Linked DNA regions of Neurospora crassa OR74A. The protein of the gene in region 1 interacts with the protein of each later gene in a pairwise test. Links are inferred from orthologs where the notes say so. Each region holds a gene or a part of one and is shown on either strand. Other genes may lie near its edges. The genes, in order: NCU01929 and NCU04799.

The links.
Region 2: the proteins of NCU01929 (region 1) and NCU04799 interact in binary tests that used the Saccharomyces cerevisiae proteins (3 or more experiments, as listed by UniProt). The link is inferred for Neurospora crassa OR74A from reciprocal best matches to the Saccharomyces cerevisiae genes PAN3 and PAB1.

The regions. Positions count from the first base shown.
Region 1 is NC_026501.1:1,980,428-1,996,755, reverse strand, and holds NCU01929 (PAB-dependent poly(A)-specific ribonuclease subunit pan-3), read left to right. Parts: upstream 1-8,865; 5' UTR 8,866-9,455; intron 9,456-9,512; 5' UTR 9,513-9,587; coding exon 9,588-9,657; intron 9,658-9,742; coding exon 9,743-9,857; intron 9,858-10,034; coding exon 10,035-10,171; intron 10,172-10,236; coding exon 10,237-10,334; intron 10,335-10,387; coding exon 10,388-10,730; intron 10,731-10,777; coding exon 10,778-10,930; intron 10,931-10,990; coding exon 10,991-12,045; 3' UTR 12,046-12,549; downstream 12,550-16,328. Other genes in the region: NCU01927 (hypothetical protein), read right to left, coding at 3,096-4,190, 4,334-4,708, 4,877-4,909, 4,999-5,087, 5,229-5,304; NCU01928 (UBX domain-containing protein), read right to left, coding at 6,531-7,937, 8,010-8,147; NCU01930 (U6 snRNP-associated protein Lsm7), read right to left, coding at 12,972-13,105, 13,194-13,265, 13,378-13,603; NCU01931 (hypothetical protein), read left to right, coding at 15,353-15,497, 15,616-15,735, 15,785-16,328.
Region 2 is NC_026506.1:858,402-875,010, reverse strand, and holds NCU04799 (polyadenylate-binding protein), read left to right. Parts: upstream 1-8,301; 5' UTR 8,302-8,715; intron 8,716-8,948; 5' UTR 8,949-8,971; coding exon 8,972-11,103; intron 11,104-11,161; coding exon 11,162-11,324; 3' UTR 11,325-12,125; downstream 12,126-16,609. Other genes in the region: csy (chalcone synthase), read left to right, coding at 1-1,088; NCU04800 (E3 ubiquitin-protein ligase), read right to left, coding at 2,249-4,541, 4,590-5,031, 5,111-5,328, 5,410-5,894; NCU04798 (alpha-1,2-mannosidase subfamily), read right to left, coding at 12,555-14,187, 14,240-15,483. UniProt on the Saccharomyces cerevisiae protein: Binds the poly(A) tail of mRNA. Appears to be an important mediator of the multiple roles of the poly(A) tail in mRNA biogenesis, stability and translation.

The DNA.
Region 1 (16,328 bases):
GGGGTCTAGGGTTTTGGCTTGCCTGTTAGGGACGAGGACAGCGGCTAGATGCGATTGGGAAGGACTGGAGACCGGGGGAAGCAAGTATCTCTACCGTGACAGACTTGAAACCCACTCAGTGTGTTCAAGTTTGACAGGATGAGGTGACTTCCGACAACTGGAACCTAGTCCTCTAGACTGACAACACGTCACTGCACCTCGGAAGAGACAGCATGTCTCTCGTCGGCCGTCACATCGGCTAGGTTTCTTCGCCCCTCTGCTTTCTTTCCATCATATCATTACATATTGTAGAACTTCAACGCCTGACTTGGCAAAGATCCATGAGTCTGGTCATTCGACAACCCCGGGTCCACGACCCACCCTACGCCAGGCACGGCTGATGCTCGCTATCTTTTCTTCCTCCACTGAGCCAAAGAGGAGATAGTGTACACTACCATGTATGTTCCACTCCTCACATACGCTTCACGTTGCTGACCTGTTACCTGCGGGCGCGATACATCGAAGCCGAGACCCAAACTGTCGGTTCTACCCTGACCGGATGTTAGCTCAACCTTCCCGTATCTCCGCAATACCCACTGGTCCGTCAGTTTCTGACGATACAGCGTATTTTGGATGCGCCTATATTGGACGAGACCCCATTTCACACCCTCTGTTCCCCGGCTTTGGCCGTCCCTCTACGACTTGGGGTGAAGCTGGTCTGGCTCTTGACCATTCCCGACTCCCCTTCCCATAGTTGTACCGCGGCTTTCCATATACGGACCATGCGACAGGTACATTGGTGATATGCGAGCGACCCCGAAGATCCAAGAGCACATCTGTCGAAAGAAGCTAGTCACAAAATCTCGCAATCTGCATGTCAAAGCATTCCATCATGTCTAGGATGCGATCTTCCAGACTTACGAACCCAGTCATAACAAGACAAGCCTCCTTCCTCGGCGTCCGGTATCGTAGCGTTGCGGGCATCGTCACTTTCCATACGTGTCGCCTAGCGGATGGGTTCGGGCGGCTGAGAGCCCAGGGGGGGACGAAGTACTCCCCAAAGATCACCCCAAGGGGTAACCTGCTGTCTCGCTGTTTGACAGGCATGACCTATCACGTTGCTCAAATCTTCCTTGTTGACAGGTATCGCAACACATCGAATTCCTCGCGGAGCGATATAAAGTATATGCGGTGAAGAACCAAAGTGTTTGATCCATGAAACATGCAACCTGCAACGGGGCTCTTATCGAGATCGCCCCTTCGACTACTGCAAAACCAGGATCCTTTGGTTATCGCTCAATTTGACCTAGTACGACGCTATTGCTATGGCGGAGGCGCTTGTGGTTCGTCCGATCCTCGAAGAACTCTCTGATGTATGATGATCGAAGCTAGGATAGATCGATTTGATGGAACCCAGGTAGGTAGACACACTCGGCACACTTACGTACAGTGCAGCATTCTCACCTAGCCCCCCACACCAGGCTGAATACGTGGTCGATGAAAGCTCTTCGGGGACTTCATCACAGTTTCACATCACTTTCGTGGTCCTCTCCGCGCTTGTTCAGAGAGCTCGTGATTGAAGCATGTGGACGCGGTACCTGACCAGGCTTACTGGACCAGAATAAGGCCGTCTTCCGTGTTTCGCAGTGGTGTGAAGTGTCTTAGGATCTCCTTACTTCGTCTGCGCCCAAATTGTTGGTCCCCCGATATTCTACCGTTCCGTCAAATGGCTCAGCTTCTGCAGGCCTCCCAAGCGATATTACTACGGTGATTAGACGATATATCAGATGGAAGGACAACACTTGAGGAAGGCGTCAAGTCACCAAGGACAAATGCAGTGGCGCTCGTGGAAGCATCAAGCCATTCACGGGAAACAAAGTTACGGGGCTTCGAAACATGTCGACAGGGGAGATGTGCCGAACTGGGCTGCGCTTGGAAAAAAAGACACTCCGTGAGGATGAGGATGGGACAGCGGACGATCACATTGCACATGCCCAATCCTTGGATGGAAACTCGCATCCCGCTCCTTAGACGCAGCTGAATTTGACTTGAATATACATTCGTACCTGTAAGAGGCAAACATCTCCCTGCTAGGACAGGGTATAAAGGTAAACTTCAGAAGTCAGAGCGCTAACAAGCAAACTAGGGGTGCTGTGGTATCACCGAATATCTTGATCGACCGACTCATGTACTCGTTAGACCAGGTACGTGTGATGAAAAGGGATGAGTGTTTCAGCGAGACCACTTGATGTGACGTGTGGCTGCCTCTGTCTGCCTGCAAGATACAAGATAAAAAGCCAGAGGGTAGAGGACGGGATTGGAGAAAACAACTGGAGAAAACCGAAAATGGGAAATTGAAAGAGACAAGGAAAGCAAACAAGCGCAGTCTCTGCCATATCCTCGCCCACAGGTAACCACGTGAAAATATACCGACCACATTTGATCATCGACTTTTCCTCCCTACGTACCACAAATGCGCCGAGAAAGGGGGTCCCGTCCTCGCTCGGCCATTCGGCAACTATATCGACCGCCCAACGGACAAACACGATGCGCTCATGCAAGAACAACAATATTGGGTTGCTAACACCTTGTCGGCAAATCCCAGCGCTCTTGCTGTTCTGATTCCTGCTGCCCCGCAGCAGAGGAGCAGCTTCAAGCGTCATGCTGTCGTGGACCCAGCAAACACTTGACACAACTCAACTCTGCCCAAGTTTTAGGGTTCAAGACCCGGGAGGATCGATGCCGATGATCTGAAACTTGCACTCGGGTCCCAATAGTCAGGCAATCCTTGGCAGTAGTTGAAACCAGATCGGCAGAATGGAGCAAGACACGATGAAGGATATGAGCTGAGAATGCGAGGGTGTAAATGTAGCGAGAGACGAAGAGGGCAGCAAATACGAATCCTCGTGAAGACTGGTTGATTGAACCGATTTGAATAAGTGGAATTTAACCCAGCTCATCACCTCGTTCGTCGTTCTGGTGCTCTCCTCCCGGAGCCGCGTCCTGTTCCAAATCGTCGTAGCTTTCCCCCCCAATATCCCAACCTATCGACGACGGCTGAAGGAAAGGGTGGCTATCGTCATCTATTCATTCGCCGGCCCAAGTACCGTTAAACCTCATCTTTGGACCCCGGTCGAGCGATGCACATCCCCGCTACCGTACAACCCATCGTCGCTAACTGGCGTGACAGGCTCTGGTATCGAGTTGCTCGCTTTCCCGGCACCAGCGCCTGTACCCGAACCTCCTCCAACCCCCATGTAATCGTATGCCGACGATGAGTTGTAACTGTAGTTGTCATTGATGCTTTTCCTGTCGCTCGTGCTATTGTTGTGACCACTACCGTCAAATCCAGGGTGATATGGCTCGAATGACAATCTTTCATCATTATTCCCCACATTCGTCGTGTTCAACGTTGACGGTTGTACTCGCCGCATCGAAGACGCTGAAGAATCAGGCTGGATCGGATCCCTGAACGGGTCCTCTTCGTCACGATATGGCGTTTCCGCGTGAGACCTCGAAGGCCCCGCAGCGGCGGCGGAGAAAGAACCACCAGCTATAGACCTGGAAGAGATGGATTCGTACTTGGAGTCGCTCAAGCCCCAGTTATCATCAGACGAGGTAGCTGCCGCCTTGCCTTTCCCCCTACTGCTGCTGCTGGCGCCAACGCCGGCGCCCCGACCACTTCCGCTGCCGCTTCCACTCCCACTTCCACCTGCAGCCGCGCTACTACTTGCCAACCAGTCCTGGACGCCTTCATTTCTAGAATTACTCGTGCCCGACGCCGCCGGAGGTGGCCGGCTTTGCTCGTTCACTACAGGCGCCACCGAGCCTGGCCTGCTCATGCTCTCGGAGCCGGGGGAGCCCAAGCCTAGCTGCTTCTTGGCGTTCAGTACCGCGCGCTGGTGATGGTTCAGCGACTGCTGCAGTTGCTCGTTGGTGTCGATCAGGCTCTCCATCGTGTCGTTGTCGGGGGCGGGGTCCGTGGCGGACATGTACTCCTGGATACTGCGCGAGGCACTCGTGCACCGGTCCGCGAACTCTTTGATCAGGTCGTTGGAAAGGATTTCATGGGGTGGCGTGCAGGCGACTACTTGCTCGAGAAGTTTGGCGGAGGTGCGGGCTTCCTCAAGGCGGTTGGCGAGTTCGACGGGGTCTGGAAGCCGGGAGGTGTGCTGGGCGCGTTGGAAATATTCCTGCTGGTTCGGGAGCGACTGATGGTGTGATAAGTAGGGACTGTACTGTTGGGGTGGGGGTGGTGAAATGTGGTGCTTAGACGGTGTGGTTGAGTTAGTAGCCGAGTCGTGGTATCACTTTGAGCCTGCTACCGGATGTCCGTGGATGGAGGACAACTTACGCCGTAGACCCTGTATGCCTTTTCCTTCTCCCTTTTCCACATCTCGATAAGAAATTGCAGGTTCTCATCGTAGCCCTTTGTGTTTTCGAAGGCATCCAATGTCTCCATGAGCATCTGTCGAACATTGCCGTCCTTCCCTGACCTGAGCAGCTCTTTGGTGGTATCGGCAAACTTCTTATCCATGTTTCGCGTGAAGGTCGCACCCGGATTATCGGCAAGGATTCGTATGAGCATGATGGCGTTGTATTGCAATGAGGGTTTAGTCCAGTAGTCACGATGTAAGTATTTTCGAATCAGGCGGGCGCATTCTGCGGCGGCGGCCGGCGACGACTCGGCTGCCTCGACGATCGATGGTAGGAAAGCGACTTCGTCTCCCTGCTTCAAATCAGAAGTTGACCCTTGACATGTGCGGCTGTATATGTGCGCGTAGGAGCCTGGACCGGGGGCAGATCGGATTTGTTGTTCTCGAAGCCCCTGATCCTCTCTTCCCAGCCGGACATGCAGTTGGATTTGCGACTGACGGTGCGACTAGAAAAAACATACCGAATTGCCGCTATCAGACATGCAGAATTGTTTCTATCAGTGTAAACGGCCCATGTCAGCGGCTTGAGCTTTCCGGGAGACAGGCGTGTTTCAAAGAGGGGGGGGTTGAGGGAGCAGCCTACCACATAACGGGTTGCCGTTGCCTCGGGACCATCACCAGTCGGATCGGATGTCGTGTCGTCGCCATTTCCATTTCCACTTCCACTTCCTGCTATACAAGCAAAGGGAGGTCAGCTTCAGAACATAAGATAAGCGGAAAGGTCAAGTTGCGTTTGCTACCGCACCGATAATCGCAAACCGATCCCAAAAACGGTGGCTTGGTCGCGGAGCCAGCTTTCTGACCAGCGCTTACCATTGGAGAATGTTGGCTTCTTCTTGATGCTGTTTAGCATCTTATTCATGCTGAAGTTCTTCATCTTGCTTGTCATAATCGCGCCCAAGCTCGGGCGGTGTCTCGAGTGTAGAGGGAGGGCGTGGACGTTGAGGATTGTCTTAAACCGCGGTAATGTCTGCCTGATGTCTGGGCACGTAACGTGGCGGGCGCACAGGCGAAGAGTTGTGTTGTTGCCTGCTTGGTCGCGAAATTCATCAATTCGTCGAGAAATACGTGTACGGGAAAATGAGAGCTCTGACGGACGCGCAACTGAATGAATTTCGTGGTGAACTATCGAAGCAGATGATGCAATTGCTGGGTTCCCCGCGAGGCAGGTGAGTAAGAGAAGGCAGAGGATTATTGACGACTAACAGAGAGCGGGAGTCGAGGGGAAGGCAGGTAAGGAACAGTGCAGTGCCTCCACGCGGTAACAAGGGTCCAGGAAACGAGATCGGGGTTTACAAAGACAACAACGCGCGGCACTACATGCATGTAGGAGGGGTCCAGGGTCCAGTGATAGGTAGCTTGGGACATCTTAGGCTGTGAGTAGACCGTAGAGGAGTTCAATAACGGCCCGCTCCTGTCATCACCTACGCTACGTGTTTTCGGATCCATCCAGAAGTGGATGATAGGTATGTCGGCGTTTGAAACCAGCCATCGATGATGCCTGCCGTGCCTATTAAACCACGCTCTGGTAGCCTTCATCGTCCCCGAAGCCATTCGGGTAGTATTCGCTATATATGCAGTTGTAGTATCAATGGAGAATGTCGTTTCAGTGAGCTGCGCAATCTATGGTCGATCCAGAATGATGGGCGAGCTACTCAGTAGAGGTACTTATAACAGCCTCTTTAATCGCCCATCCAAGAGGTACTAGTACAAGCGGCTGCCCACCTTTCTGATGGAGACAGGGAGTGTCCTTTGATCTTGGCTGCTTGTGATTCAAGACTGTTTGGACCTTACCTCAAAGTGCGTACTTGGGGGGTGATCAACCAGAAAACAACAAGGCTCAGCACACTCGCCTGCCTCGAATACGTTGTAGTATAATAATCCAGGCTTTAAAATACTATCCAGCCTTGGACCACATCACATAAGAGCACACTGTCCTTCAGCCATGGGAAGTCAGACAGTGGATTTCACATATAAAAGCCTTCACACTGTAACCGAATGTCCAACCCCCTTACACTACACAACGATGAGGCGTCAGGCTACCTTTAATCACTCTGTCTTACAATGCCTCGCCAACAACGATGCCGCAAGCTCTGAGTCCCAACCAAGCGGCCGTCATTCCTCCTCTTCCTCATCAACAAGATCCTCCACGATCAAGTTGCCTCCCCTGCCCATTTTTTGAGCGATAGTAACTGACGCGGTAGGTTCAAAAACCTCCCTTGGCATCACGGACGCAATTCGGAACGCGTACTTGTGCTCATAATTTTCAGGCTTATCTGTGCTCTCTTCCACATCTCCCTTCTCCTCTTCGTCCTCAGGGTAGAGCAAGTCATAGCATTCGACAAATGCATAGACATCCTCCAGTGACGCGTCAGGGGCAAACTTCCGCGTGACTCTCCCCCTTCCGGACGACTGCGACATATTAAGCGCCAGACGGACCGCATCCTTTACCGAGACATCAGGCTCAGCGGCAATAGTCGTAGCACGCCATCTCCTCCACTGCTGGCGTAGCTTTTCCTTTCGCTCCGCTGCCTCAGCCTCTTCTCGTGCGCGCCTCTCCGCCTCGGCAGCAGCTGCTGCTGCCTCTCGCCGTTGCCGTGCTCGTTCTCTGTCAATAGCAAGCGACCGTTCATAAGCCGAATCCTGCTCAGATCGCAAGTTACGGGCCATATCCTGTGCCGCGCGCTCGGCGCGAACACTGTCAAGATCAGGCGCGTACTTTTCAATCGCTCCCCGGATCCCAGCAATGAAGACGGACGGAGAGACAGGCCCTGCAATACGCTTCACGATTCCCATCCGTGTGCTTCCCTCTTTCGGCGTGAGGCACACCAAGCATGAAAACGGAAACTTGGTGCACGTGTACTCCATGGAAACTTGATAAGCTTCAGAGTCCAGTACATTTCCTCCCCAGATTATGATGTTGTTGGCGGGATCGTTGATGAAGGCCACGACCTCGGGGTCGAGAAGCGTATCTTTGATGAATGAGTCGGTGTCATCGTGTTCTGGTGAAATCAGTATCGTCAACAAGAACTTGAGATCTTTCTTTGCGGTGTCCAAAGCTTGGGCATGTCCGCCGTCAAAGAAGACCAGATCATGCGTGCCATAATACTCCTCAAATTCCCGTTTAAATCGCCCAGCCGTCTCTTTGGGAAGCAAGCTCCGCCGAGATTTTCGGAATGATGCTGTTAAAGCATGGGGCCGCAGAGACTGCGGAATAAAGGACAGTATGTAGAGTATAGGCCGAAACAGACTGGCAAAGACTCGTAAAACCATCCGGAAAGGCGACAAGAGGAATGAAATCAGTGATGGGGCTTGGTATGTAACGGGCCTCGGGGGCACCACACGCGGGGCGGGCGGTGTTCGGTTCGCGCGGTGTAGCCCATGCTGGTGCGCGATATCCGACCAGACGGTTTCGTGTAATGTCTCATGCCTACCGGCAACCCTAGGAACTTGGTTCTGTGCTGCTTGGGCTTCGGCAACCAGGTCGGGCCCTTCGCCGTCGAAGAACTTGGCTATTGCTATCTGCGCCAGACGTCAGTCCCAGCACGTGCATGCAGGCATCGAAAAGCCGGGGGGCCTCTAGCCGACAATTACCTGAACATTCCACTGCGACCGTTCAAGGAACGGAATAGCATCCGTGATCTCCTGCCCTGTAACATCTGTATATTGCTGCAAGGCCTGCTGTTGTTCCGGGGACAGCTGACCGATGTCCACCGCATTGTCGCCTGACATTGTATGCAGTTCGGCGGTCGCGTGGATAGCTGGAGTATGAGTAGAATATCAAACCGTCACTTGCTGAATCGTGGACGGAAGGGGTCACTTGAAGAAAGGCTGGTTGCTCGACCGCGCATCAAACGGGGCAGATTTCAAACAAGCTGGCCTCGGTATGCTCGCGATGCTTGGTTGTCGAAAAAGCGACTTGACACATATAGCTCTGATCGTGATCGCGACTGGAAATTGAGTGAATCACGATGGAGGATTAGAGAAGAGAGAGAGAGAAAGAAAGAAAGAAAGAGAAGGGAAGAAGAAGCGGGATGTAGACCAAGGAGGAAGAGGTCGAATGGTGAACCTTGATGGTGTACAGTACCGGGCTGTAGCGACCTACAAGTACATACATATGTCAAATGTCTGCGCGTTGAAGCTGAAGCGTGAAGATACCACGTCACTTAGATGAGGTCAGCGGCCTCGGTTATGTGCCTAACGCAGGTCCCTGGGCAGCGATGCACAAATCTGATAGTCGCATATCGGCAGCTGTCCGCGGTGGAACCTTCTCCCAGAGGTCGTAGGTAGGTCCCGTCGGGAATGGAGGAGCCGGGTGGAACTGAGGGCGGGCAACCGGGCACCTACTGCTACGACTTGGTGGAAGTGGAAACAGGGTCGCCAAGATGGTGGGAGTGGTGGGGTGGGAGCGATGGCACACTCGTCGATGCGACCGGGTGCGAGTTCCCTTCCTGTGTGGTGTCTGCCCTGGACTCCCGCCCGGCACGCAGCTGTGCCCTGTCCGCAGCCCAGCCCGCCGCCGCGTCGCAGTTCCTCAGCTTTCTTTCCCGTCCGTCGCTGACACTGGAGAAAGTGAGTGGGCACTCGTGGGCAGTAGCTACCGCTAAGGTTCCCGTCGTCACGGTCACGCATCGCCGTTTTTGCTCCGCAAAGTGCTGTAGCGAATTGTGCTCGCAAAACCATCCGAATCTGACCCCCCCTTGGACTCGATTCGTCAAGTCAGCGCAGCCAACAGGACCTCCATCACCCTCAAAGCAGCCCCAGGATTGCATACGACATCTGCCAACCACCAGTCCCCTTTGTCCCTCCGCGAGTGGCGCATTGGATCTCCAACTGGTCCATCGCGTGCCATCCGATCCGATCATATACGTCCCTCCTGTCCATCGCCAACCTCGTCAGCGTATCGTCGACGTATAACCCGAAATCTCGAGCTTTCCGCTGCTACCGCTTGCTGCCACGCAACTCTGCGCCGGCGCCTTCGCCGTTCCCTATGGGTGTCGGCTTGTCCGAAATATGGGAGAGATCCGTGAGGGTGAAGAAGTATATCCACCTCTCCGTGCTCGCTAGATGTGCTTTTGCTAAGCTGCTCTGCTGCAGGCGTTGTAAAATCGGCCTCGGGCTCGTTCATCCCATTTGCTAGTCCAATACAATAATTCACCCGTCTACAACACCATGGCCGCAACGCGATATAATTCGGGCGATCTCCGAAGGCAAGTCGGGTCGCCGCGTGCAAAGAACCGCGGTATGTCCTCAACGTAGCCCGGATCTCGATCTTCGTTCTATTGCAGCCCGTCCGGCGTGTCCCGCTAACTGGTTTGCTCCCGAAGACACCAAGGAAACACTCTGCCGCAATGTTGTTATCTACGGACATTGCCGATGGGAGGACTCTGGATGTACCTTCAACCATGACCAGAACAAGGCATCCGTCTCACAGACCGACCTGTAAGTTTTATCCTAACTCTGTTTACATCCGCGTGCTGTGTCAGCGGGGAGTTATGCTCCTGGGTTTTGGAATGGGATTGCAACGTCATGGCGAGAATATGCTTGTCTGGTGTTTTTTATTTTATTTCATTTTCCGTTGTGTCGGTATGTCTTGTCTATTTCTGACTTTGGTTATAGCAACTCAAATCGAAGAGTCTTCAATGTCGAATCCCCATCCTTTACGCCAGCTAACCAGCAGCAATCAGCTGGAAAGAAGTCCACCTTTTCCTCCCAAGCTGCGAGTGCTGCCCCATTCACCCCAAGGGGAGTTGGCAGTAAGTGTCCCAGGGCGGTTCTGAGACCTATATGGATGTTCAGGCAATGTTTAACTCAACCATAGCATCCACGCCGACTCTACAGCAAGCAAATGATTCGACCATATTCAACCCAGCGGCTATTAGGGAATTTACCCCGCAAAACTACGATGTTGGCAACACGGTAAGTCATATGTGGAAGGCTGGCAGATGGCCTTTGCTCACAGTCGTCGGCAGATATCGCAGAATGGGGCACAACACGTCACTCAGGACGGTGGTCTTTACAGCGACCCTTTTTCGATAAGTTCACTGGGTCAAACAATGCCGCCGCAAGGCCAATACAACCCATACGCAAACGACCCAAACAATCTGGCCGGTGCTGGGGCAGGATTATATCAGCCCGCGGGTTTTGGCAATGGGCTGGTCCATCCACCCAACTACCATCTCTACCAACCACCATCGGAGCTGTATCGTCCAAGCCTTCAACCTTATCAGCGAACCACGTACGACTTCTTCATCCCAAAGGATAGGCGAGAGAACTTGCAGAAGAAACTGTTCCATATGCAGCAATTACTACCAAGTGAGTCCATAGCTTCTTCAGTGGAGATCGGTCGCTAACCGCAGCAGATTCCGGGCTTCCTAATCTTGATCGCTGGCACTCGCTCTTCCCACTCGATACAAAGGCTACGAGGAACTCCACTTGCTTTGGCTATCCTAGTTGGATGTACAAAGCACAGAACAACAAGAATGGGAGACACTTCGCCTTGAGACGTATCGAAGGTAATGACATGCCTAGTTTCTGGCTTTGAGAATATAAGTTCACTAACTCGGCTCTGGCAGGTTACCGGTTGACCAACGAAAAGGCCATTCTCAACGTCACTAAGGAGTGGAAAAAGATCATCAACGCAAACATTGTCACCGTACACGAAGCATTTACCACCGAATTCTTTGGCGACAGTTCTCTGATCTTCGTGTATGACTTTCACCCTCTTTCCGAAACACTCTACGACCATCATTTTCCACCAAACAACAGCCACAACAGATTACGGAATACGAACAAGATTCCCGAGAACCTTTTATGGAGCTATGTGTGCCAAATAGCGAACGCGCTGTTGGCCATCCACAATGCCAAGCTGGCCGCCCGCTGTCTGGAGTTGAGCAAGATCATCTGGGAAAACAACCGCATTCGGCTTGCGGCGTGCTCAATCCTCGATGTACTACATCATGACAGCCCCAATCGCAAAACTATTGAGGAGCTGCAACAAGAGGATTTTGTCAAGTTTGGCAGAATTATTCTGGCTCTGGCCACGAACACCCCGACGCTCAATTTCAACAACATTGACGCTGCTCTGGCTACCATTGTGCCGCGCTATTCGACACAGTTGAGGGGAGTATTGGAATGGCTCATTAAGCCTTCTGCTCCAGGGGAAACCAAGACGGTTGAGACCCTACTTGGCGGAATCACAACACACCTCGCCAATTTTGCCAATTTTGTCATGCAGGAGTCCGATGAGAAAGAGTTCCATCTTATGAGGGAATTGGAGAATGGCAGGATTGCCCGTCTCATGTTCAAACTGTCCGTTGTTAACGAGCGGGGCGATTCTTGTGGGGTGCACAACTGGTCGGAAACTGGAGAGCGCCTCCTCCTAAAACTATTCAGGGATTATGTCTTCCACCAAGTGGATGCCGATGGAAAGGCTCGGCTCGACACGAATCACTACCTCAATTGCTTGAGTAAGCTCGACGCCAGCTCCGAAGAACAGATCTTGCTCACCAGTCGCGACAATGCCACGGTTTTCGTCGTCAGCTACAGGAGTATACGACAGATGCTGGACCGTGCGTATGGCGAGCTTGGAAAGGAAAGTAAACCGAGCGCGACGGGGGCTACCATCTGAATATAGAGTCTTTCGACTTGCGCTTTCAGCCAATGGCTCCACATGTTCGGTGACGGCCTTTGCCATGGCGAGGATATGGATCGCAGCTCAAATGAAGGCTGAACGACAATAATGGACGTAGCAGCCCGACCAAAGCGAGCTTGACCTACCAGGAAAGCGAAGAGGGGGGATTGAGAAGAAGAAATGTGGACTAAGTGGTGGAAAGTGGTTAACAGCGATGAGCAGATCATGTTAGATAGCGAACTAGAAAACAGACTCAGAACACGTGCCCAATTCCGTCCCAGAGCAGGATGTGGGCTGAAAACAACTGGCATATGTATGCGGTGAGCCGAACTATTCGTTATCTTCCCAAGCGTTCTCATTCCACTAGGAGATACTGAATGAGAAAACTTGCCGCTGCTCGAGAGTTCATGGAGCCAAGGGACGTTCTTGAACAGGCATATGTTGCCTTCTGGCTTGATTTCCAGTTAGATTCCCCCACTCGTCAATAACGGCGTTGGCTGGACGTTTACCATAACTCAGGGCAACCAGCTGCATGTGTGTTTCTTCTCGATGTAGCCAACCCCTGTTCTTACAGTCCCTCTGGTGGGTATCGTTGGTAGCTGGGGCCGACTTGTGTTCCTTCATGCTCGACACTGGGTGTTTGCTCACCCAACTCAGCAATGTTTCCCTTGTTGCACCGTCCTATCCTTGAGTGGGGCGGATATCATAACATATTGTTAGACTTCTCTCAACCTTTCAGGTTTCTGTCCTGGTGTTCCTTCTCACTGTCCTGCCCCGTTTTCCTTCGTCAAAATTGTCGTCTCGTCCAATTGCGGTATCGCTCGGTTTACGAGCATGACGGGATGGCGTTCAGATCCCCAAGTTGGTATAATGTTTCGAAAATGATGCAGTTTTACTTTGTCCAGACGAGCATTCCCTTCTGCTCAAGCTTCTTCCTCCTGCTGAGCGAAGGGGTTCGCAATCACCTCGCTTCCGTCGACGGGGCTGATCACAACGAGGAGCGTACCGCGCGCAACAACAAGTCCTAGAGGACGGGTGGTTTCGTTGCCTTCTTCGTCTATTATAGGTGCGTGGGTTAGGACCAACTGGGGCCAAAGAGAGCGAGGTGCACTGGGCAGAGAAAGGCAAGGGAGGCAACAGCTTACCTCTCACAGCTTCCTGCACATCATCCAAAACCAAGTTCATAAGCGCATCATATCCCTTGAGCGTACCGGTAACTGTTGTGTCGAAGACAAGAGAAGGGTTTGTGTCAGCTTTGTAGGGAGCTTTGTGGGGAGCTTTAAGGGAGCTCGTTGAGGGGACTCGGGAAACAGCCATGTCACGACGTACCTTCACGTCCACCGTTGAACTTGACAGTGATGCGCTGGTCCATATACTTCTTGAGGTCGAGGATGTTTTCCTTCTTAGGGCGCTCACCGCGGTCACCGCCCTGAGCACCACCGCCTCCCTGACCTCCACCGGCGCCGGAGCCAGAACCACCTGCTCCTCCACGGTTACCTCCGCGACCGCCCCGGTAGCCGCCACCACGGCCTCCCCTATTTCCTCTATCGGCCATTGTTCTGTTTCTTTGTGAAGTTGATTGAGTATGCGCCGTGTATTGCGCTGGTGGGTATGGAAGAAGAGAGGAAGTCGTCGAAACCGAACCGATTGGCGATTGTCGAGTGTTGATTTGTGGTGTTGGTAATGTCGTTCGGTGCTGCGATTGTTGTCGTCAGGCTGGCTGGCGCTATGGGTTGCGATGGATGTCGTGGGGTTGGTCAGTCGTCCCGTCTGGGTCAGTCGCGTTTTTGGCGTCTGCATCCGCTGGCGGGAGTGACGCCTAGCTGAGTTTCTTCCACAGCTGTGCTTTGCCAAGCACCCCGCTGTGGGGCTGCCATCCGGCTGTAAGTGCGGGTAGTGTGGATCCTTGAGGTCCAGGTAGCATTCCCCAGACTGGCTGACGACAGGAGCCGTGAATCGCTACACTACACTTCGTAGATTGAGTGGCCCAAGCTTTCTTTTTTAGCTTCTCAACTTCCCTTCCCTTCTCTTCCAGTCCAACCACAACCGGCTTGATCGAAACCTCGAAGTTTCTTAATCCTGCCTTCGTTCCTCAGACTCTTCTTCGTGACGTCCAGCAGTGTAAAACAATGCGTGTCATGAGTACCAATTTGATGTGCTGGACGGCTCACAGACACGGCCCGCCAGCTCATCCACTACACTACACTTTTGTTCCATGAAAGGTCGCCCTGGTATGTTTATTTCTTTCTCTTCGACTTCCCACCATGTCCGTCAACTCTGCAGTGCCGTAGGGTTTTCATGTCGTGTGATGAGCTTGTCAATATCCCAACACATTAATCATCTGCTACGACCTTTTAACATGGTCGGACGGCTGAGGAGGGAATACTTCGCCTGGCCATCGTTCAAGTTCTGTCTTTGGTTCTGAGCAACGGGAACAACTGCCAAACTACCTAGTAGCGAAAACATGGTGCGTTGCAGCAGCCGCCTACCATCTTGGCTCTCAATGCAGCGGCGAAGAAACTTGTGTCCAAGACTGTCAGGCATGTGTGCCAAGAATCAAGAAGCGCCGTCTTTGAAATTCAGGTGCTTGACAAGAACTCAATTTCTCTCGGCAACATCCGAGAGCCATTGAACCAAGACGCACGCTCACCGGGCCAAGAGTATCCGATCGAGTTGGGTTCCATGTGACGAGGTGCGATTGGGAGTTCACAAGTAGGTCCTACCAAACTCCAAGCTTGCCCAAGGAGCAAAACGGGCCTTAGTTTCCAGCCGCTCGAAAATCGGTGTTACTACCTACATATTCCATTGACGGATGCCTACACTACTTAACGACTCGACCCCTCTATCCACTGGCTAGAAGTGTCCCTGACTCGTTGCCCCGGCTGTTATCAAACTTCGAGCAAGGGAAGCATATCCTCATTGACCTCACAATTTGCTCTCGACTATCAGACCTCCAGCTATCCCACTGCCAAACGGTTACGGCAAGTTTGGGTTCCTAATACAGGTACAGGTCGCATCGCGCATGGTTCTGTACGCGCCTACCTATATTGGGCTTCCCTCACCGGCTTGAATCGGCACCACTATACTACAGCAGTTCACCGCAGGCTCGCCCTGTTGATGCGGGACAGTCTCCTCGAGTCGCCTACCCTGCCACGGCCAGGCTAACATCTGTAAAGTCGATACGAATAGTCCTCGAATAGAGACAAAACCCGGCCAAGATATAGAATATCAGGGAGTGACCCAACCCCATAGTGTCCACTCGGAGCAGTTTCTCCTTTGCTTGGTTCTGTTGTGACGCCGCAAGATGCCGGCAGGCGTACACAACGGGAAATCGGGGGATGGTTCCCCTGGGCCCGGCCCCTCTAAGCGCAAGAGAGACCTAGACGACAATGGCATCCCCGGCCTTACCCGCCCTGACCGCATACCCCAACCACGGCCGCCACAGTCAGGTATGTTACAACGTGAAGAGGACAAATTCCCATTGAGCCAATACTTGACGGGGTTGCGCCATGACTTGGGCTCTTGCACTCTCAATGAAGTCCCCGTTGTCTTACTGATTATCGCTAGGTAACACTACACCTATCAACTATCTTTCCGCTTCCGGAATCAAGACATCAAGCCTCGAACTTCTTCGTGGGGATAACTGCGCTTTCAACAAGGTCATATCCCTTATAAGCGACTATGAAGGTATGAAGAGTACTCTGTAGTACAGGCTCCAGAGCTAAAGTTATTCAAGGAGTTCTCAGTCGACATGAAAGCCTGGCTGCAAACTTAGGGGCCAAGCTCACCGCACCTCGTTTACTACGAGCTATGGAGAGTCTTTTCGAAGGTGAAATTACTGTTTATGCCAAGACTTCTTCCGGAATGGATCAGCCATATAAGCCTAGCTGGCTGGACATCCTCGATTTTGCGGCTGCTAACCCTAGCGAGTTCAATCTCACCACAATAACCAGTCGTGGCCGGGTCTGTCGCTTCTCCATGAAAAACGTCGACGTCGAAATCACCGAGGATGACTGGCGGCTTATCAGGTCCGGTGCTTTGGACCGTTTTAGCCTAGTTCCGCCCAAACCGTTGGAAGAGGATGACGGAATCGAGTTGGTCACGCTAGATATAGTTGAGGACCGAGTTCACAGGATCATTCAGAAGGCAGACGAGATAGCTGCCAAAGCACGGCAACTGAACTATCACCTGAGCGGCCGCAAGGCTGCCATTGGGGCTCGCTATACGTTCCAGCACTCTTCAGAACTGAACCATTACCCGAAACGCCACAGCGAGCTGAA
Region 2 (16,609 bases), on another chromosome or scaffold:
AGGTCTTCATGTCCGATGGTGTCCCTCTTGCTGTAGAAGCCTCGCGAAAGGCTATGGCCGAAGCGCGGCTAGTACCGGCTCAGATCACACACATGGTCTCGACGACATGCACCGACTCGGCCAACCCGGGCTACGACCATTACGTCGCAAAAGAGCTCGGTCTCAGTGACCGCCTGGAGAAGGTCCTCCTCCACGGCATCGGCTGCAGTGGTGGTCTCGCCGCCCTTCGCACAGCGGCGAATCTCTGTCTGGGCCACACAGCGCGCGGCAAGCCAGCCCGGATTCTGGTCCTCGCGCTCGAAGTCTCCACGACCATGGTCCGCAGCGAGCTAGAAAGCATCGACGCTTTGCAAGAAACGCGCATTGGCATCGCCTTGTTCAGCGACTGCGCTAGCGCCGTGATCCTGTCCAACGGCATCGGCGAGGCACCGGGCAAGCCCGCGATCTACGACCTCTTGGGTTGGGAAAACCGCGTGATCCCGGACTCCGAACACGACCTCGGCTTCGACGTCGACCCAATGGGGTGGAAAGTCGTCTTGTCGCCCCGAGTCCCAGTACTAGCCAAAGCCTCCCTCCAACCAACCTACGCCGACCTCCTATCCTCTCTCCAAGACCAACTCCCTTCGTCGTACCAGAAACCTGCCGATTTCGACTGGGCAATGCACCCCGGCGGCGCCACCATCCTGTCCGGCGCCGAAAGCGCCATGGGTTTGACACCAGAGCACATGCGCGCCTCCTACGACAGGTACATCAACCACGGCAACTCGAGCTCCGCAACCATCTTCAGCGTTCTCAACCGGCTCAGGGAAAAGGACATGGATGCACTGGCGCCCGGCGGCAAAGTAAAGGAGTATGTCGTCGGTTGCGCGTTCGGACCGGGGATCAACGTCGAGATGTGTATGTTGAAGCGGAGAATGAACGCGCCAGCAAGGACGACGACGGGTTTGGACACACCGCCGGAGACGGATGATAGCGAGGGGCCGGGGCCGGGGTCGAGTGCGGGGAGTGACGATGGGGAGTCGATAGAAGGGGGCGAGAAGGAGGAGAAGTTTATTAATGAGGCGTTGGACAATGTTGAACTGGATTGAGATGGATGGATCACACGAAAAAGGAGGGCGGGGGATGTGAACGGTTTTCGTTTGTAGCAAGCTTAGGCTATGTCAGTAAGCAGGCGGGTGTTTACCAAGGAGTCTTGATGTAGTTCTTTCTTCTTCTTCTTCGATACCTTGATGGTATTAAAGAGGTTATGGTCGGTCAATCGGTCGGTCGGTCGGTCGGTCGGGCTAGCCCTTTCACTTTTTTTTATTCGTAGAAAAACCATTTTTCTCATCCAACCTTCTTTGTCTTATTCTTGTATTTCGATTTTTTTTTGATTTTTTTTTACCAACCAAAAGAAAAATGTAAGAAGGAAAAGAAGAAGAAAAAGGGGAGTTCAAGAAAGGATTTCCAAAAACTGAATCGTGGTGTCGGTGGTTATGTCAGACGTGCGACGAAATGTTATAACCCAATTGGGGAGTGTGGTGGTGGTGGTGGTGGTGGTGGTGGTGACCCAACAAATGAGAGCTGACTTACTTTCCAATAAATATATGAGATGGGGTCATGGTGATCAATGTGGCCGGCCCATGGCTCGGACTTCGAGTCCTCTCGGATATTTATATATATATATATATACGCATCCTGGGTAGATAAGTATGTAATGTAGAGCCATACACATGATTTGTCACTACTATGTACACCACTTTACTTGCCCCCTCCTTTCGGTCGCGAAGGTTTTAAATGGACGTTGTGGTGGTTGGGTTGTCAATTGTTTGTTTGTCTGAGCATGCGCAGCGCAGGGAACTAACAGGACGATTGTCTCTGTCGCGATAGAGTAAGTACACAGGCTATATGCGGCACAGCTTGATGATGTGCCTGTCTGTCGTCCCTCTGTACTACCCAGTTATGTATGTGCGTGAAGTAGATGTTAATCATTGCTTTGGGCTTTAACTACAACGATGGAGAAAGATGATCGAATATACACTTAATCAAGTAGGAAGTAGCAATCAGTCAATTTGGCTTCAAGTGAATGAATGAATTATCAGCTGCTTTAATGCTTTTAGTCTCAAACAAGACTTGAGACAAGAAAACCGTCTGAACGCCAAACCTAACAACATCCCATCCCATTCAATCCCATCTTGTCAACCGCAGATCCTCACGCTCTTCTGTACTATTCAACCCCATAACCGCAGCCCTAAATGATTTGGCCTCCTTAACTCAAATTAAACCCAGCCCCACTCTTCACCGCATACAGCAGTTTCTCCTTCAGTCTCCCCTTACTCCGATACTGCGGCAGCTTGAGCAAATTCACACACGTACTCGCACTCGGCAACCGGTCCTCATCCTGCCCGGCATCCCTGATCGTGAAATAGGGCCTCAACTGACCAAACCCCAACAGCGGCGCTCTCGGCGTTGACGTCACATATTTCAGGACCTCCCTCCTCTCCTCGTCCTTCAGCTCATGCATCACCTCCCAAAAGATCTGAATGGTGGGGTGCTCCTCCCCATCAAGACCGATCTGGTACACCCCGTTGTAGTGCGTGTTGCGACGGAGATCTTCAACGTCGATTTCGGAGCTGTCGCCGCCGACGAGGCGTTGGAGCTCGAGTTGGTTGAACATGGAGAGCCAGCTGGGGTCGATGACGGAGCCTAAACCGCGCAGGAAAGCGCGCGTTTGCGGGTAGGGTTGGCGGACGAGGCGGTGGCGGGCAACGTAGGAGATGTAGAGGGGGCGGTTCTCGTTGGTGACGGGCGTCGAGTCGCCGTGGGGGATTAGCGGGCGGATGATGGTGCGGGTGGGTTCGCCGGGTGAGTTGATGGGGTCGGTAATGGTGAAGTCGAGAGCTAGGTCGGTTTGCACGTCGCCCGTGTAGTTTTTGAGGCTTAGCATGCCTTGGTAGAGCTCCTCGTCGAGTTCGCGCAGGTCGTTGATGTTGGCGCGGTAGCCGGCGGTGGTGGAGGAGGATGATGCTAGGGGGTTGCTACCGCCGCCTGGGGTGTCGTTGGCGGTGGCCCATTTGAGGAGGAAGAAGCCGGCGAAGACGATGTCGATCAGGATCCCCTCGTACATGCATTTGCCGATAATTCGCCCCAGGAATTCGTACATTTTGAGCACCTGTTCTACAGCACGCTGTGTTTCTTCCGGTTCTCCTACCCGCATGTTCCTGATCCGATCGATAAGGGTGGGATTTGGGTAGTATGCGTTCTTGCTGTTCGTGACAAAGAGTTCGGTGTGGGTAAATGCCTCTGTAGTTACGCTGTCAAGGAACTCTTTGGTGACGCCGCCGCCATCGATACCCGCCTCCTGCATTCCAAATTCGTCCTCAAACGTAACCTGGATCGGCTCTTTGAGTCCTTCGCCCAACTCCCAAAGCTGTTTCATGGCATCCTCAAAAACTCGACCTCTTCGGATCCGAGCCGTGTGTTTACCCAGGGGGTGCTGGGCACCAAAGCCATTGCGTAGCATATGAGCTCTCCACATGTCTGGATCGCCATCTCCTCCACGTCTGCGCTGCTTATCCAGTTGGATGAACTGTCGGAAGATTTGAACGCGCGTCTCAAATGGGATAGCAAAAGGCATATTGCGCAGAATCTCAAGCTTCGGGGTGATTGCAGACAATAAGTGGTTGCGGGCGGCCTTCCTATTCTTCTGCCTGAGCCTCTCAAGATGTGCGTAGTGAGACCATTCCTGTTGATCATCCTCGGAGCTGTCGGCACCATCTTCGGTATTGCTCAGCTCGTGTTGTCTCTGCTCTTCAAGAACCACAGCCGCAAGGAACCCTTCCATGTCGAACTTGGATGTCATCAGCCAGTGGCCTTCGGGCAAAAATGGTCGTCTCGAGTCCCGTTCGTAAAGCATCTTCATGGCTGTCGTTGCTAAGTCTCTGAGCGTAGTGAAATCAACTCCGGCAGGAGGAAGGAAGCTATCATTTTTGGAAGCTTGACCGCCATCGCCTCTAGGGCGATTCGAGTTGGGCGTCTCGGCCCAAGGGCTGTTTGTCAGTAGCTCCTTAGCATTGTAGTACATTGTGAAACTGAGGTGCTTGAGAAATTGTGTCAAGCGCTTCAGTTCGCTCAGCGACATTCCCGCCAGACGTAGTCGAGAGGAAGGGCCGCCGAAGTTAGGATGGGGGTTTAAAGTGCTGAAGAAATCATCGTCGTCCATGAGCCGCAAAACGAAGATGTACGATTCAAGGAACAGAAGAACAGTTTTCCATTCTCGATGCCACACCGCCTCGGCAGCTGGTGATGACGGTTTGCGTCGAAGAAAGTCTAGCGTGGAGTCCTGGCTGGACGCAATCTCTGAGAACACGGACGTCTTTTGTGTAGCACTCCAGAAGTACTTGGCCGTTGGAATACGGCCTTGGGCAGTGGAGATGTCAGCCACATAGAGGAACATGCGAATGTCCTCGCTAAAAGCAGGAAAGCAGTTGATCAAAGTCAGGATGAAACCAGCGAGGTAACTGGCGTCGTCATCCGCCGAAGTAGAGGTTTCCCCGGTAGTTCTAAGGTTGTTAGCGCTTGAAATGAGCAGCAGGCGAAGGAACACTTACGCGGTAAAAGCGCTTAGAAGGTCTTGGATGGCTCCTTTATCAACTAGCGACTGAAGCTGTTGTCGCACAAAGGGATGCAGAACGTCGGATCCATCTTGCTCGGCTTCCGCAAAGTAACCCGTGTCCTTTGGTCGAGCAACGGCAAAACCCGCCCTTATCTGGGCTGAGCACAGAGGGAAGAGTGATTCTAGGGTCTTGATGAAAAGAAGCCTTGAGCTTCGTTGTTCCTTCGCCCCATTGATCGCAATGTAGTGTGCGATAAGCCAGAGGACAGCGTTCGGGTCATGCTTTGAAAGCTTATGCGAGAGGTCAATGATATAATTTGACAGCCGATCTAGGTCTATGTTGGCGGCTAGTCTCGTAATCAGGTCCGAGCATCGCGCCGGGCCGGGCTGTGTCAGAAAAGAAACAACCAAGTTTTGGTAGGCTGTATGTTTGAAGTCTACATAAAAACGGACGGCCACAGTTAGTCAAAGAAGCTTTCTTGTACGATGGGGAGAATCCCAACAAATGGTACACACCTAAATCGTGGGGTACATCAAGCGGTGCAACCACCAGACTGCAAATGAGCTCTTGGACAGAAGAGGGCAAACCAGTCTCCTGGCATAACCTTCCGAGTACCTTGTACCACTCTCCCAGAACTTGTCCAAACGTCTCGAAGTCCGACGTCTTGGTCCTGATCGCATCAAGGGCCCGTAGGAAAAGAGCCACCTGAGTCTGCTCGTTTCCGAGATCACACCTATCGAGAAGCCATCTCTACATTAGCATGCTGGACAGTTGTGGAATAATGACTCGGGATCCAAAATCATGAACTGCTCACCTTGTCAGAGCAGCAAGTAAAATCCGCCTTAGTTTGCCCAGTTTGTCCCACCCCAAGAATACCAAGCTAAAGGCAGAGAAGTCTGTCTGGAGAAGATCTTCGGTAACCAAAGCTAGCCTGTGACGGTCTTGTACGTTGAAAGCTTGGAAGGCGGCAAACACCAGAGGTAATGCCTGCGCTGACCTCTGCCCAGCATCAACGGGTTGCGCTTCGTACAGACGGTCGATAGCCTGGCGTTGTTCATCTCGTAGGGTTCGTCGCACACGATGTCCCCTCCATGTTCGTTGTATTCGTTGCGCCGCTCTGAGCCGGTCTCGTTCCTGTTGCCTTTGCTGACGTTCTGCTTGGGCATGCGCTACTGTTTTGGAAGCTCCCGTCGCTGAACCGGCGCCCCATGAGGTGCTGGTGAAGGGGTTGCTTGTCCGTTGACCGCTGAGGTTGACATTTCGACCTTTCCTAGAGCTACCAGTAAAGGTGGGAAACATGGCTAGTGACTCGAGTGTTTGGTTTGATATTCGAGATTCCCCAACACTAACACGGAAGATCGGAGGGCGGACGAGTGGCGAGAGGAGGGAAGCTTAGGCGTGGAATTGCGCAGGTTGATATTATATCGAATGAATATTATATATTTTTGAAAGTGTTCTGATGCGGTGTAGATATTCGGACTTGAACTAGGAGGTCGTACGAGCCGGGATCTCCGCGCTGGAGGTGTTGTCTTGCAGTTGGTCGTCGTGAACGGTGTGGTTGATGTCCCCGTGTTGGACTGCAGGAGGTTGCTCATGGAGATGGCACGGCAGTGATGGCAGTGATGACGAGACGATGGCCGGCTACCTGGCCGTTGTTGGGTTGGAAGCAACATCCCCGCTGTTTTTGCGTACCTTTCAGGTGTGTGCCCACTGTTATGGTACCTAAATAGCTAGCGGAGTGCTACGGCACTTGCACCTGTCTAGGTACTGCACTAACAAATCATCACTAATCCAGACAATGGTAGGCACCAGTAGAGGTAGCTGTTCCAGAAAGTTCAGTCGCTGCCACCAACCCGAATCGATGTCTTGATAAGCTCGATCAACCAACTGAAGTGACATGTATCTCAGCGCTAGCGACACATTGTTTGGGACCTAGAGTAGAGGCTTGCTACAACACCAGCGCGGATTGAATCCTACGACGAGCTTCGGAACGTTAACGTCGGCGCTGAGCATCAAAAGGTTTCTGGTGGTAGATCTCATGATTGAGTGTCGAGGTAGGTACCTCAGCAGGAATCCAGGTACAGCGAGGTGCCTTGGGAGATGACCCCTCTTTCCTTTGTCTGTGTTATCTTATCGCCCGGGGCAGGCAGGCTGGGCATCGATGACATCCATTGAAACATGTGAAGCATGGTACATAGAGGTACCTCTAGGTAACAAGACTGGTGGTATCTCGAGCACATTGCTCGTCCGGGCGAATGAAGAGTTATGTAAGGATTCTATACCTGAAGAGAATCCTGAATGGTTGTTGTCGTCCATCAACTACAACAGGATGGTGCCTTTTTGATGTCCAATTCAATGACGATGAATACGGGTTCTATGGCCCATGCCCGCCCCGGCCTACTCACAAACACGAAGGCCAGAGGTCAAACAAGCCCTGGGCTGGCAAGGCTAGTCTGGGACACAGCCAAGCAGCGTCGTCCGTCAGATGCCTGCTCCCGCCTTGGTTCCTTCCACTTCACTTGACTTCTTGATTGAGTGATTGTGGTGTCCGCCGTGCCAATTGCTGCGCTAACGGTGGTGGAGGTAGTCTTGATATATGAATATCTTCATACGAGTTCCTTCCTTTTCCAGATGAACCCAGCAGCAACTCGGGTGGGACTGGTTCGGGTATTTGTATCAAGCCGATCTTGACATCTTGTTCTTTTCCATGTTAGACTTGACCCGGCACAGGGACCAATCACCACAATGGGACCAACCTCAACAGACAGCAGCCGCCATCAGGACCAAAACCTTTTCGTCGAAATGTTAGGATGTGTCATTACGCTCGAACTGTTCGAGTACCCAAGATGCCCTGTTCCAGACTTTGGTTTTTGCCGCTGGCTAACCAGTATATGACTGCAACATCCTGGCAGGTCATCCGGCCAAGTTGCCCCATCCAAGGTTCCGTGCGCGGCTTTGCCAACAATGTCTTTTTTGCAGGTGAAATGGACTGCGAATGCTGATACTCAGGACATCCGTTTTACTTCTCTATTTTTGTCTGGTGTGAAATATGCCCGTGGCACGAATGCAGCAGCAATGCCGTTTGCTAGCGGACTTCCAGAAAGGTAAGGCGGTCGTTAGCATTGTTCCATGGTGATGGGACAGATGCCAGCGACCCAGTGCCAAAATCCGGCACACCGCTGTAACCTATTGCATCTTCAACTCCAACCGCCAACTGAGATGGAATGTCCCGTGATTCAATACAAGTGAATCTCGCCGGTTTATACCAAATAGGTACGGCTGAAACGCAGGGTTTCATAACAACCCTCCAGGGTTCATGAATAAGTGCCCATGTCTGCCTGTTGTTGGCATGAGTCGTCGTCAGCCATGGTCGACCACAGTACCGTAAGTATGCTTGATCTCAGGTGGTGGCCCGGGAGCAAGTGGAAGTGCCAGGCAAAGTTGGAAGTCGCACGTTTCGCTGGATCTCCGGTCTGGTCTGCAGTCTGCACAGGTGGATGGATGCCTTTATGCGAGAATTCCTGGCGGGTCCTATCGATAAATCAAGGTTTTGCAGCCCATGCCACCCCGATACCCGCATGCCCTGACCGCCCTAGCCGCACTTCACCGGCTACGAGGGGCGCGGCACAGTGCGCAACCACAAGATGCGTGGGCGGGAAAGAAAAAAAATCTGACCTCCGCATTAAGACGTGAGCCATCCGGGCGTCGTTGCTTCTTGCCCTCTTTCTCCTCCTCTTCTTTCTTCAGCGGACCTCACGCCCTTTATCCTCAGGAAACTCCTCCAAACCGAAGCCAGAAAGAAGTCAGATAAGTACGAACATTTACCCTCTCGGTCTCTGTTCTATCTACTTCTTGTCTGTGACAAACAAAACCTCACCAAAAAAATTTGAAAATCGCCGAAAAAAGAGAAATCCCCCCCATCCATACAAAACCCCATAAAACCCACCAAATCCACCCACCTTTTTTGGAAGACATTTACCCAAGTCTCCAAGTCCACCAGTCTTCCTCTCCCTCTCCCGAATCTCGTCCTTGACCAGTCGAGTTCATCCTCCCTCTTTGTCAATACCGTCGCCCGTTCTCCGCGCCGGTTTTACTTGCTCCACACAACTCTAGATCTCGGGTACGTTGCTCGTCGCACTATCAATTCCTCCTGCCTTGCCATCGTCGTTGTCGTCGTCGCCGTGGCCGCCGCCAGTGCCGCCCGCCCAACGTCACGTCAATTGAGACTTGTCCTCTCCTCCTCCTTTCCGCTGTCGTCGTCGGTCGACACATCGGTTACCCCTCGGCGCCTTGATCAGAGACACAGACACACACAAAAGGATACGGACGCTGACAGTTCCATCCATCATACAGAATCTACAGTTTAACCAGCAAAAATGGCTGCCACTTCTACCGCCGCTGTCGACCAGCTCGCCGCTGACCTCGGCAACACCAGCCTCGACAACAAGGCCGCTGCCCCGGCCCCCATCGACACCAGCGCTGTCCCCGAGGCCCAGGCCGAGGGTGCTGAGGCTGCTCCTACCCCCACTGCTGCCCCTCACCCCCAGGCTTCCGCCTCTCTCTATGTCGGCGAGCTTGACCCCTCCGTCACCGAGGCCATGCTCTTCGAGCTCTTCTCCCAGATCGGCTCTGTCGCCTCCATTCGTGTCTGCCGCGATGCTGTCACCCGTCGCTCCCTCGGCTATGCCTACGTCAACTACAACACCACCGCTGACGGCGAGAAGGCTCTTGAGGAGCTCAACTACACCCTGATCAAGGGCCGCCCTTGCCGCATCATGTGGTCCCAGCGTGACCCCGCCCTCCGCAAGACCGGTGCCGGCAACATCTTCATCAAGAACCTCGACGCTGCCATTGATAACAAGGCTCTTCACGACACCTTTGCTGCTTTCGGCAACATCCTTTCCTGCAAGGTTGCCCAGGATGAGCACGGTAACTCCAAGGGCTACGGTTTCGTCCACTACGAGACCGATGAGGCTGCCTCCCAGGCCATCAAGCACGTCAACGGCATGCTTTTGAACGAGAAGAAGGTCTACGTTGGCCACCACATTCCCAAGAAGGACCGCCAGAGCAAGTTCGAGGAGATGAAGGCCAACTTCACCAACGTTTATGTCAAGAACATTAACAACGAGGTCACCGACGAGGAGTTCCGTGAGCTCTTCGCCAAGTTCGGTGAGGTCACTTCTTCCTCCCTTGCCCGTGACCAGGAGGGCAAGTCCCGTGGCTTCGGTTTCGTCAACTTCACCACCCACGAGGCTGCTGCCCAGGCTGTTGATGAGCTCAACGGCAAGGACTTCCGTGGCCAGGACCTCTACGTCGGCCGTGCCCAGAAGAAGCACGAGCGCGAGGAGGAGCTCCGCAAGTCCTACGAGGCTGCCCGCCTCGAGAAGGCCAACAAGTACCAGGGTGTCAACCTGTACATCAAGAACCTCGGCGATGATGTCGATGACGACAAGCTCCGTGCCATGTTCTCTGAGTATGGCCCCATCACCTCCGCCAAGGTCATGCGCGATTCTCTGATCGAGGGCTCCGAGGAGAAGGATGAGAAGGACAAGGAGAACAAGAAGGAGGGTGAGACCAAGGAGGAGGAGCAGAATGAGGGCTCTGAGAAGAAGACTGAGAAGAAGGGTGACCGCAAGCTCGGCAAGAGCAAGGGCTTCGGCTTCGTTTGCTTTAGCAACCCCGATGATGCCACCAAGGCCGTCACTGAGATGAACCAGCGCATGGTCGATGGCAAGCCCCTCTACGTCGCTCTTGCCCAGCGCAAGGATGTCCGCAAGAGCCAGCTTGAGGCCAGCATCCAGGCTCGCAACCAGCTCCGCATGCAGCAGGCCGCTGCCCAGGCTGGTATGCCCCAGCAGTACATGCAGGCTCCTGTCTACTACGCTGGTCAGCAGCCTGGTTTCATGCCCGCCCCCGGCGGTCGTGGCGTCCCCTTCCCCCAGGGTGGTATCGTCCCCGGCGTTCAGGGTGGTCGCCCTGGCCAGTACCCCTACCAGCAGGGTGGCCGCGGTGGCGTCCCTCCCCAGCAGATGCCCCCTATGGGTTACCCCATCAACCAGTTCGGCCCTGGTGCTTTCCCTCCTAACACCCCTCAGTACATGGCTGCTATGGGCCAGGTTGGTGCTCTTGGTGGTGGCCGTGGCGGTCCCGCTGGCCGGGGTCCTCAGGGCATCCCCGCCGGTATTCCCCAGGGTCTCCAGGGCGGCCCTGCCGTTCCCGGCTACCCCCCTGCCGGTCGTCCCCAGAACGGTGGCGGTCGCGGCACTCCTCGCGGCAACGCTAACTTTATGGCTGCCGGCCGTGGTGCCTCCCCCATTCCTGGCGCTCCTGCCGACCTCAGCGCTGGCTCTTTCCTCCAGGCTCAGCTCGCTACCACTCAGGATCCTCAGGCCCAGAAGCAGATCATTGGCGAGAACCTCTTCCCCAAGATCCAGGCCATCCAGCCCGCTCTTGCTGGCAAGATCACCGGCATGCTCCTCGAGATGGACAACGCTGAGCTGATCAACCTGTAAGTCTACATGTCTATTCCTGACTCTTCTACATATCGCTAACCTGTCTCTCTGTAGGTTCGAGGATGACAACGCTCTTAACGTCAAGGTCCAGGAGGCTCTTGCCGTGTATGACGAGTACCTCAAGACTCAGGGCCAGCAGCCCACCCAGCAGCCCGCTGAGGCCAACGGCGAGCAGCCCAAGGCTGAGGAGCAGAAGCCGGAGGAGCAGAAGGCTTAAATGTGCCCTGAGCGATGGATGATTTCCCACGCACCGGCATAGGTGTTTCTCAGATGTTTCTTCATGTTCTCCATTCAACTCTCTAGGGTCGATCTCGCAACGGGGGGTCCGGAAAAGTTTATTTGATACCACACTTCGCTTGACGACAATTATGATTTAATCTCTCCCGATCCCATGCAACCCCATCACGGTGCGATGGCCGAATTGGCAGTGGATGGATTTTAAAAAGTATCTCCAGCAGGTGGGGTGCAGTTTGTTCCTTGTGTGCATGACGACTTTTACAAGCAGTATCTCGATATGATATTGATTCAAAGTCATCCTCATGTATTGACAGGCTTGCCTTTTCTTTCTCTCCTTGTGATGGAGCGTGGTGTCGCATCATACAGGGTTGGCCATCTGAAGGGGTATGATTATGTTCCTTATGTTTTATCAACGATTTGGCGTTTACGGTTAGGGAGGGAAAACTGGCCAAAAGTGATTATCTGCAATTGGTCCGGAATGTCGGGTTTCTTCAGCCGCGTTTTCACAGAAGGGGAGGTTAAGCTCGGGCATCTTAGGGAACACATTCTTTTCGCTCTCGAGACAGTAACAGAGCGAATGTTTTAGAACCCGGTCATGTAACAAGAGTGGGAAGGAAAGGGATATAGACCAGCATCTTCATTGTCCAGATTGCCCATGAGAAATGGGGGTAATGGGACTTCTTATGGGGTTGAATCCCGGATGAATGGCAGAAGGAGGATCGAAAATTGCTCAGCTAGAGGGTAGAGATAAGCCAATAGATGCTATCAAGTTGATATCAGTGAATTCTTGATTGTGATGCTGGGTAAGCGGTACGTGGCTTCTGGTTGCGGTTACAGTCCATCCCTTGAGCTTGGATGTTGTTCCAGGCCATATTTTATACTGATCGACAGCTTTGAGTCTTCATGTGCTGTCGTCACTGACCTCGGAGTGATGAAACGAACAACGAGTGTCAAAGAAGAAGCAAGACAATACGAAGTAATCCCAACAGAGCCGCCAACGAGATATAGGTACACCAATTTGAACGCCATCATTCCATATCGACGAATTCAAATGGTTATGGTTTAAAATAGCATCCGTTCGTCACAGAAATCACAACAACTGAGGCAACAAGGATGAGTTCAGCTCGTAACCTACTACCCAGCTAAAATCTCATTAGGATCTATTTACCCACCTCAAGAAAAGAGTACTTCTTAATACCCATCATCAACCTCATCGATTCCCCTCTTCCTTCGCCTTTTCCTCCTCCTTCCACCTCTCTGTCCTCTCCCTATCCATCCTCTCCCACTCCTCCCAGAATTTCTCATCCTCATAATAACTAGGCGGCAAATCCTCTCGGTTTGTGCCCCACCCATCCTTGCCCAAACTTTCTTCCGGTCCAACCACCAACTCCAACAACCCGCCCTGTTCAAAGAACTCATGCGTGATCCAATTCTTGGTGTATTTCTTCCCATTCAACTTGGCAGACTGGATATAAACCGGTTTCCCACCGTTCCTGCCTTGCATTTCAGCATCGAAATTGACGGTTCTGATCACCGCCCATTTTGCTTCCTTTTTTTTCTCCGAGTAGAGGTAGTAGTCACGAGAAGGAGAAGGAGAGGACGATGATGCTTTAAGGTCCATCCCGGCCCTCACCTTGACCTCTTTGAAAAACGGCGGGACAATCAAGTACACGTCCTGCCCCGCAACGGGGAAAACACCCAGTCCCATGCCCCACGTGGTGAAGGCCCCCATGGCACAATCGTCGTTTCCCGGGATGCCGTTGACGCTGGCGTTGAACATCTGTGGTATATAGTTCCGCAGCCACTTGGAACTCAGGCCCGGACGACCGGCGTAGTGGAACTGAAACACGGTCAGGAACGATTGTTCGTTGCCCATGTAGGCGATGCCGCTTGAATGGTAGTATTCCAATCGCTTGACGAACGTGTCGGCCCCGCCCATGAGTCGGATCAGCGTCGACATGGACTGCGGCGCGAAAAAGGAGTAGAGCCACGGTGACCCTTCGTAGACGTCCAGCGCCGTGTCGTAGTAGCACGAGTGCTGGTTTTGGATGGGACTGCAGGTGCGCGCGGGGTGGTACCGGAAGGTGCCGGCAAGTGTGCGTGGTTGGAGGAAGCCGACAAAGGGCGATTGGATGGTGTAGCCTTTTGGTACCTGGGAGGAGGAGACGTTTTGGCCGGAGAAGTAGGGGGTGTCTTCGGATTGGGTGGTGTGGTCATCGCGGAAGAGGTCCTTTGCGGAAGGGTTCCAGTAGTTGCGCCAGTTGGCGCCGCGGTGGTGGTATTTGGTGATGTCGGCGGTGAGGGAGGTCCAGGGGGTTGAGATGTTGGGGCGGTAAGAGGAGGAGTCTGCGACTTCTGAAGACGTAGAAGAAGCACCGAGGAGAGAGGGGGACTTGGATAGACCCTGGGATAGGAGGGAGATGCAAAAGTCGTTGTAGGCGTACTCGACGCCACGAGAGATGGAGCGCGAGGCTGGGCCGGTGCCGTTCGTGTCCACGTCGTTCTGGGGAATGTAGCCGCGATCGTGCCAGGAGACGAGGTTGCCGCGGCCGGAGAGACCCCAGTTTCGGGGCTCGATTTCGGCGTCGGAGAGGACGGCTTCGTAGGCTGTCTTCCAGTCGATGTCGGCTGTGAGACCCTTGACGAAGGCGTCGGCGATGACTACGTCCGCGTTAGAACCGCCTTGGGTGTAGCCTTTGCAAAAGGACATGCGACAGTCAGGCAGTTTGCCTTCGTGTCTGTAGATGTCAATCAAGGCCCTGATCATCTCGGTTTGTGCCTTTGGGTCGATGACTGTTAGAAGGGGGTGTTGAGCTCTGAATGAATCCCAGATGCAGTAGAACCTACGCAACGTTAGCATCTTTCTGTTCCCCCTTTCCTGGTTGCCAGACTTACGAGTCAAAATACGGCTCGCTCGAATTCCACAACGGGTTTTCCCCCGTATAATTTTGCGGACTCAACAACGTCCTATACAGTCCACTCCAAAAAGTAGTCTGCAACTCCTCACTGGTCCCATTCGCATCCACCCTCACCACATCCAACTTCTCCCTCCACGCCTCTCTTGCATCCCTTTCAACCCTCTCAAAGTCCCAATCCTCCATCTCCCTCTCCGCATTCTCACACGCCTTATCCACGGACATAAACGACACACCCACTCTCGCCAGAATCGAGTCCTTCATCTCTTCGTCAGGCTTCTCAAACTGGATCCAAGCACCCGCCGACCCCCACCCGACGCCTTCAAGAAGCTGTTTCTCGTCCGTAGCTTTATTCGACTCGAACGTCCCTGTCTTTCTGATCTTGGCACCCTTGAAATCCGCGCAGAAATAAGCGTGGTAATGCCCCGATCCAAAAGAAGGGCCGTACCGCCCGTCACCCATGATCCGGCCAGTTTCGGGGTCAACTTTGATGTTACCCCTGGAGCGACTGTTCATGAGGTCGACCAGGTCTACCAAGATAAGTGGACTATAAGGCGCCACGCCCTTGGCGAAGGGCACCGCCTCTGTGCCGGGGAAGGAAAAGCGGTAGAGAACGGAGTGGTGGGTAGTCGTCATCTCGGCCCTGACGCCATTGGTGATGTTCACGGTGAAGTACCCTGGTGAAGCATAGACGGAATCAGGGACGCGGTTGAGCGGTCGATCAGAAAGGGAGAAGTCGCATTTGGTGTAGTCGTCGTCTACACAGCCCGGATGCACAAAGAGCGGGAAGTTTCCCAGAGAGGGCTGGCCGCCCGTGCCGGAGTCGTGCATGTGCGAGAAGCCGGTGATGGGGTTGTCGTCGGACACGAAGCCGGCGGCGTTCTCGGCGGGCGAGGCGGTGTCAGCCACGGCTTTGGCCATGCCGTAGGGCAGCGTGGCACCGGGGAAGACGTGGCCGCCGTTGGTAGTGCCGATGAGGGGGTCAATGAATCGCAGGAAGTCATTGACATTGTGGTTTTTGACCGCCCCATAGGATGGGCTTGAGCTGGAGTGTTTGCCATAGGAACCAGCGATGTCGGGTGAGAAAGGAGAGAAGAGGAAGAAGATGGTGATGGTGAATAAGACGGCGAAGAGAAAAGCTCTTCTTTTTCGTAGAACACTGGCAAGATAAACGGGTAGTTTAGCTGCCGCTTGGCGGTACGGTGAGTCGTTATTCATCGCCATGGTTCCTGACCTCAGCCGTAGTTGAGGTGAGAGATACGCTTCGCGTGGCTATCTCTCTTCTAAATGGTGGTTGTCTGAAGCTCTCGCATGCTATGTATGTGGCCTGTTAGTTATTGACAGCCATTAGGTTGGCAGCGTTTCAGACATAAACATAATCTGTTCCCTTGCTTGGATATCGAGACATCAAAGTCAAAGATCATAGTCAAAACATCAACATACACGAGGATAACCAGGGTCCGGAACCCCTGAAGAGACAAGACAACCCATGGCGTCGAAGTTAAGTCCGGGGTTGCTAACTGATCCACTATCAATCAGCCTCTTCGGGACATGGGCCACATTGTGCTAAAATGATAATTTGGGCACATTGAATAAAGTGGCGTTCTTGTCAGGAGTGTCAAGTTGAATGGGGGGGAAGAGGAGAAGCTGAGGTGGGAATTGGTCGCCAAGACGATACTAAGACCTTTACCGTGCCGGCGTCCGATCGGGAACAGGGGCATTAGCCACTGACAGGTATGCTATTGTCCAATAAGGAAGCAGGATAGTGGCTTGAAATGGCTAAGGCTTGTCGGTGTTACAGGGCCATGCCTTCAAGTTTTGGATGTCCAAAGATGGAAGTTCTCATCGCTGGCCTTCGAACTGACTCTAGACATGCCAAAGTCGAAGGGAAAGAGGAATGTACATGGAACTTTCGTCAGGCCTGCCCAATCGAGAAGTTAAGAGAACCTCTGCTTGATGTTCACCGCTGATGATTTCATTTTGGAAAAATCGTCATTGTCGTGGTGGTATTCTTCAAGGCAGAGTCGGTCCGGTGCCTGACCCACGAGAAAATGATATCGAACCAAGAACCCTTAATATCGGAATGTTCATATGGCCAATATAGGCATCCTTCGTGAACTCTTTCGGTAGGTAGTTCGTAGCGTGGCCAATATGTAGACGGTACCGCCTCTTTACCCATTTTCGTTTTATCCATATAGCTTACCTAGGTGGTACCTCTACCTTCTCTCACTTGCCGCCCACTTACAATTCGTCACATTCTTCAGATATTTTCCACCTTCTGCGTTTTGCCTGTGAATACGTCAATACTTCAACCATGGCGCATTATTTTTGGAGACCTTCACAATGAATA